2 linked regions of the Mytilus edulis genome follow. The protein of the gene in region 2 interacts with the protein of the main gene of each other region in a pairwise test. Links are inferred from orthologs where the notes say so. Each region holds a gene or a part of one and is shown on either strand. Other genes may lie near its edges.

Region 1 (3,761 bases), on a different chromosome or scaffold from region 2:
AGAAATTCCCGCACCCGGAGGGGTCCTTCAGCTGGCCCCTAAACAAATATATACTAGTTCAGAGATAATGAACACCATACTTATTTCCAAATTGTACACAAGAAACTAAAATTAAAATAATACAAGACTAACAAAGGCCAGAGGCTCCTGACTTGGGACAGGCGCAAAAATGCAGCGGGGTTATTAATAAACATGTTTATGAGATCTTAACCCTCCCCTTATACCTCTAGCCAATGTAAAAGAGTAAACGCATACATGTAATAATACGCACATTAAAATTCAGTTCAAGAAAAGTCTGAGTCTGATGTCAGAAGATGTAACCAAAGAAAATAAACAAAATGACAATAATACTTCAATAATAATAATAATACAATACAGACTTCAACTAAACTGATTGAAAGATTATGATTTCATCATACGATTTGCATACATGAACATGTAACTGAAATTTTCTGGAATCTACATTTGATCAAATGAAAACATTTTGAACATGCATTTTCTTACAATTACGAAACAAAGTTACAGGACACACCCAATAATTAGTTAAAATCAATCACTTTTACATACAAAAATATACATTTGTAGCACTTACAACATATCAAATTATTGACTTTCAAGACACGTTAATACCTCTCCTGGCCGATCCTGCCATCTTATCCAAACTTATAAACATTAAAAAGGTTCTATGTGTTCATATGGAGGAACAGTGTTGTACAATACAGATATAAAAGTAGTCTTACTGTTTGAGCTAGGGAAGATTTTCTTTTGCTCTGTCATTGTCAGTAATTAGAGCCTTTATATTCTTCACAAGATTGTCAGATTAATGGAAATGCATGATTTTGGACAGGGAGAGTCACCAGAAAATGTTAAAAGTGATTTGATGTAGAGTATGGTCAGAGTTAAAGCAATACTTTTCAAGGAAATGAAATGCCTCGCTGAGCACAGCTGGATACGACCGCAGGGGTCCAACTCCAACCCTGAACAGCTGGGGCAAAAATGAACACAATATTCACGCTTGATACAGGCCAGGACTGTTATTCTGTAAACATTTAATTATCACCCCTTTTTTTTCTAATCTTAAAAAAATTGACCCCTTTTTTCTCTAATCTTCAAAAATTAACCCCTTTTTTCTCTAATCGTCAAAAAATTAACCCCTTTCTTCTCTAATCTTCATTTTTTTTGCCCGTTTTTCTCTAATCTTCATTCTTTAAGGGCATTATTCTTTAACCATTTAACCCCATCCAAAACCCTCTTACACTATGCTGTTGCATATTGACCCCCACCCACCCTTTTTGCCAAAACAAATAATTTTCTTTTAAATTTCAGAAATTTGAAATAAGCAAATCCCCCCAAATTCTCCTAAAAAAAATTCACCTCCCCTTTTTCCCAAAAAAAAAATTCTTTTCCTTAAAATATGATCATGTAAATCTCATAACAAAATCAGACTGGAAAAAAATTCAAACTTAAAATGTTAAAATTTGTCATGATAAAATAATACACCTATAATATCTTATCAATATCTTTAAGCATGATGAAAAAAAGTGCAGAAAACTGATTACTGAGTGAATTTTCCGAGCCCAAGGACCATAACTCTGCACCAATTATTCAGATCAGAAGTTAACATCATACTTCGTCTTGATCTGTATGTCATAGTAAAACAATACACCAAATATCAAATCAATATCTTCAAGCAGGAAGAAAAAAGTGTGGAAAACTGATTTGCTGGACTTCCAGATGGACAGACAGACATAGTTCAAGCCTAAAGTCTCCTTCTACTTTAATTTGGCGGTCGGGGACTAAAAACTAATTTTCTTTATTTTTTAGCAATTCACCATGTTCACTCACTAAACATGCTAGTGCACCATAAAAACTTATTCACAACAAAACCCTTTAAAAGGTTGTAAACATGTGGGTACAAATGAGATAGGGGTGAACAATAATATAGGAACAAACATGATTTGTGCGAATGGACCTGTATTCGACCATTGACCCTCCCCCTTAAATTAATCGTGCTCTACTCAATTTAGAACTGTAGTGCAAGTATGGATGCTCGTGTAAATTCGAATATTCATGTAAAACTAGAAATATTATCTTTCTTTATTATATATGTGCCAAACTTGAAAAAAACCACTCAGTCATTTACCATTTTTACAGTGATTTTGCAAAATTGACTAAAAGTGTTGTTTTCTTAACAAATTAGTTATTATTAAATAATTCATACATCAAAATTACTAGGCATAGTAAAGTTATGAGATGAATGAATAGCTCCATCTATAAGATTTTCGCTAATTCCGTTTCCAAGCGTGCAAGGACTCTTTGAAACATTTTGTTGAAATCCACAGACTCCAGCAAGTGCCATTTTGTTTTTAGTGTCTGCAGTAAATATATTTGGAAAATGATATTGATGAATAACAAATACTAAATTCTTAAAGTTTTTTTATATTCAATTTTAGCAAAAGCAAAAAAATCATTTCATCTTAAAAGTATCAAGACAATAATGATTTTCTTGTTTGACAAAGGCAGCTGGTCATAAATAAATAACAAAATGTACGACGGTGAAGACGTATATTTTCCGGGGAAATCAATACTCGATTTTATTATACCGACATGTATTACATTTTTTTTTTTACATACATTTATAATTGAACTCTAATTTTCTATTATTCTATATATTGTATTATATTATTACACCAGTTTTCGATATCACAAACTAGTCAATAGTTATCAAAGGTACCAGGATTATAATTTCAAGTACGCCAGACGCGCGTTCGGCTACATGTATAATTGAGTCATCAGTGACGCTCATATCAAAATATTTATATAGCCAAACAAGAACAAAGTTAAAGAGCATTGAGGATCCAAAATTCCAAAAAGTTGTGTCAAATACAGCTAAGGTAATCTATGCCTGTCTATCAAGCTGATTACGTAAAGATTTATTAATTTTACATTTTAAGAAAAGTGGGTTTTATTTTTAACCGCATTTATATTACAATGTTTACATATTTTATTTTCTCTTTGAATTCTTTATATCTACCCCTCTCTATTTCCAAGAAATGGTCACTTACTCGCATTTTACATAATAATTTTATATTTTCAAAACTATTTTTAGAAATGTATTTGTATATTTCATATTTTGTTTTTATTTTACTGTACAAGAATATTTTACTGGTTTCATTAGTTAATTTTAATTTTTCAAAGCAAATATTTTCAAAGCTATCTTTTAGTTCTTTTTTAAAAAAAATTGAGAATGAACTCTAGCTTCTCTTGCTTATAGTTTATATCCTGTATTTTATTTATGTTTAATTTATTTACATTGGCTATATTTTCTACATATGAGAACCATGAAAATATACCGTTAGTGCTAAGCCATTAAGATAAACAGAAAGCATCATATAATAAAGGGTTATTTTCATCACTAGAAATTCTTGCTAAGTACTTCAATGACTGTACTTTAATAAAGACATCTATGGGATACTGAGCTAGTTCTGCTCTTGCAGCAATATTGACAGATTGTTTACTAAGTCCCAGTATATATTTGCAAAATTTTTAATGTGTCTTCTTCACTTGGCTACTATCAATCATTGCTAGAATATCAAATTTACTCATGTCTCTAATTTGTGCTCGTCTTTCAGCTCTTATTATTTTTTCATAAAAATCCATATACCAAATCTCAGAGTTATACATGAGAATAGTTTAACTAGTGATTCAAACATTTTTTTGTATAGTTTTACAGACACATTTTCTAAAGGAGAAAGATACTT
Region 2 (3,761 bases):
AACTCGTTGGAAGTACTTGATAAATTGCATGCTTATATTGGTGATTTTGAATCTGTTCAAAATTTGATTTTTCTACCCTGTATACCACATTGCCTCACATTCTCATTAAGAAAAAATTCACACACCTAATTAAATGGGCATTCAAAAAATCAGAATGTGAATATATATGTTCAAACTCTTTTAGGTCATTTTTTAGTAGCAATAAACAAAAAAACTATGTTAATTGGACATGCTTTGATACTATATATGCCCTTGAATTTTTACTAGATAACATTTTTGTTCGCTTTGGGGATTCTGTATATCGTCAGATTATCGGAATTCCAATGGGGACTAACTGTGCACCACTTATTGCGGACCTGTTTTTGTATTGTTATGAGTTACAATTTATGACAAAAATAAGCAAAGACCCATCGAAACAACATCTGATAAACAAATTTAATAATACTTTTAGATATTTGGATGATATTTTGGCTCTCAATAATGACGACTTCAGTATGTATATTAATGAAATTTATCCTGTTGAACTTACTTTAAATAAAGCTAATACTAACAATGACCACTGCCCTTTTCTCGATCTTGATATCTATATCACTAATGGAAAGCTGAATACTAAAATTTATGATAAAAGAGACGATTTTTCATTTCCTATCGTTAATTATCCGTTTTTAGATGGTGACGTTCCCTTGTCACCATCTTACGGTGTTTATATATCTCAACTTGTATGATTCGCTCGTGTATGTAACAATGTTTTAGATTTTAACGAGAGAAATTTATGTATTACTGAAAAATTATTACACCAGGGTTTTCGATATCACAAACTAGTCAAAACATTTACTAAATTTTATCATCGGTATAAAGACATCATTCGTAAATATAGCTCAACATGCAGACTTCTAATACTTTCAGGTATTTCACATCCGATTTTTTATGGAAATATTCTTTATAAAGCACAAAGGTGTCAGTATTCACCTCAGAAACTTACAAAACCTTTGAATAGACTTATTAAGAAGGGATATAATTACGATACTGTTGTCAAGTCATTAAAGATTGCATATTTTGGCGTTAATATTGAGTCACTGATAAGGTCTTTGCATCGGAACTAAACACATTTATTCTAAAAACAGTTGTTGGCATGACACGGGTTATGTTCTTCTCATATATGTTATGATGGTATGATACTAAACCCCTAACGGGAAGGATTGTGCCTGATGTTCATATGATGAAATCATAATCTTTCAGTCAGTTTAATTGAAGTCTGGAGCTAGCATGTCAGTTAACTGCTAGTAGTCTGTTGTTATTTATGTATTATTGTCATTTTGTTTATTTTCTTTGGTTACATCTTCTGACATCAGACTCGGACTTCTCTTGAACTGAATTTTGATGTGCGTATTGTTATGCGTTTACTTTTCTACATTGGTTAGAGGTATAGGGGGAGGGTTGAGATCTCACAAACATGTTTAACCCCGCCGCATTTTTGCGCCTGTCCCAAGTCAGGAGCCTCTGGCCTTTGTTAGTCTTGTATTATTTTAATTTTAGTTTCTTGTGTACAATTTGGAAATTAGTATGGCGTTCATTATCACTGGACTAGTATATATTTGTTTAGGGGCCAGCTGAAGGACGCCTCCGGGTGCGGGAATTTCTCGCTACATTGAATACCTGTTGGTGACCCTCTGCTGTTGTTTTTTATTTGGTTGGGTTGTTGTCTCTTTGACACATTCCCCATTTCCATTCTCAATTCTATTATATGAAAGAAATAGAATTATCCGAATTCAGAAAACTCTCGCATTTATCAAAACTGGGGAATTCCCTCCGATGTGTTTCTAAATTTATAAAAACACTAAATATATATACTGCTTAATTCTGATTTTCTGTGTTGTTAAAAACATGCATATAAGTCAAGGGAAATATCAAACATAAAGATTATGAGAAGAACATTACAGGAAAGTTGTTTAAGTTCAATCCTTTTGCTTGTTTTTACCTTTTCATAAGAATCTGAGATTTTGCTGAATGTTTAGAATAAAACGGTTGATGTGAGGGCATAGAGCCCTGAGTCAATGGTATAAGTCTACAGATTGCTTGAAAGCAGATATCAAAGCAGTCTGTAGACTTAAAAATTGCACTCATCACGTACTCTTTATCAAATTCATATAAATACATTTAGGGGGAATATGAAGTGAATGTGTTTATTTAAATCTGAAAGTTATTTTTGTAAGTATTGTGAAGATTCATCTTAAAATTAACTAAACATGTCACACTGTCAATAAATATTGAACAGGAAATCCCAGGAAATAAATCATGTCATACCATGGCACGTTATAGATTCGATTTTTAACGGTAGTTTTTCAAGAAGTGATATGGCCTCATATGCGTCGTGCATCACGACGATTTATGGCACAAATATACAGTGAATCTATGGCATTTTGTTGCAAAATTCAGCTAAAAAAACATCTACTGCTACTTTTCATGTGATAATCATTTCAAGTCTCCAACAGAGAAGAGTTCTCAAATCACTAAAAACCAAAAGTAACCATCTTGAACATAGACAAGAACGGTCTAAATTGGCTTAACACATACATTTAGACAAATGAGTGTCTGGAGTCAGTTTCACAAAAAAAAACTTAAGACTAAGATTTATCTTATAAATTTTCAAGTATACTGAATTGTTCATGACTTACGATCAATCTTAGTTGTAAGATTTTTTTTGGGAAAACCGACTCCTTGAGAGGGGTCCTTTAATTCTTTATTCATAAATTTTATAAGCCATTTTATCTATTCTTAATTTGGCCAATATTTGGGAAACCCTGAGAGGATAAAGGATCCCTATAGTTTTTATTAAGTCTGTGAGTCCGTCGGACAGTCAATAATATTTACAAGCGCAAAAACTCCAAAACTCAAAGGTATATATAGGAGGCCAGAGAAATTTTGTACAGCTTTTTTGCATATGTAAATGTGCATATGTTTAATTTTTTCATAATTATATTTTGCTCATAATAAGGGGACAACAATTTGATATTCTGGGGAGGGGGGGGGGGGGGGGGGGGGGGGGGGCAGGAGGATTTTGAAAATGAATATAAACTCAGCCTTGATAATCACAAAAAATGAATGGTTTTTGTTCTGTGGTAGTTTGAAAATAAATTACCTGACTTGCAATCACAGTATTGAAAAAATAAATAACTCAGTAGGTCTAATTGAAAGTATAGGATGGCATCAGATTCTTCATAAATTCATCTTCTTTTTTTTTAAATCGGGAAACACTTCCCTAATCTTTTAATAATAAAAGTATAAATATTATTTAAATATACTGGAAACGTCTGAAAATTAGTTTCATTTAACTTTAGGTATATTTACTCAGGAACACTTACCTCACTTTTATTACAGGGCAGTAACTACAATGTAGGAAATTTCAAAACCAAACGCTCAACTCCATATCAAATTGTGATCACAAGGAATGCCTTGCAAGAAGGAAGTTATGTTCTCCCTCAGACGTAGCCCCTGATTTTTCGGGATCAATGTTTCTTTTTTATTTGTCTTTTGTTCATTGATTGCCCTTCTGTATCCTGTTAGTGTTGTATTCCTTTTGTAATTTAGTAATTTTGTTCTTAACTTGATCATGATTTAAAAAAAAAACCAGAAGCCACAGACTTAACTATGTGAATAACATGTTTGCTTTTAATGCATATTGGTCTTTTGGTGTTGTCCTTAGAAACTTAAGTCTTACACTGAATTAATACATTTTGCTTTGAGACCAAAATATGGTCAAA

What was found. The genes of interacting proteins can lie anywhere in the genome.
Region 1: the proteins of vam6/Vps39-like protein (region 2) and proteasome subunit beta type-5-like interact in a two-hybrid assay, tested with the Caenorhabditis elegans proteins (2 studies listed by BioGRID). The link is inferred for Mytilus edulis from reciprocal best matches to the Caenorhabditis elegans genes vps-39 and pbs-5.

What each region holds. Positions count from the first base shown.
Region 1 is NC_092348.1:49,873,528-49,877,288, forward strand, and holds the start of proteasome subunit beta type-5-like, read right to left. Parts: upstream 2,389-3,761; 5' UTR 2,360-2,388; coding exon 2,222-2,359; intron 1-2,221. UniProt on the Caenorhabditis elegans protein: Component of the 20S core proteasome complex involved in the proteolytic degradation of most intracellular proteins. This complex plays numerous essential roles within the cell by associating with different regulatory particles.
Region 2 is NC_092346.1:54,794,207-54,797,967, forward strand, and holds the start of vam6/Vps39-like protein, read right to left. Parts: upstream 2,512-3,761; 5' UTR 2,378-2,511; coding exon 2,305-2,377; intron 1-2,304. UniProt on the Caenorhabditis elegans protein: Plays a role in vesicle-mediated protein trafficking to lysosomal compartments including the endocytic membrane transport and autophagic pathways.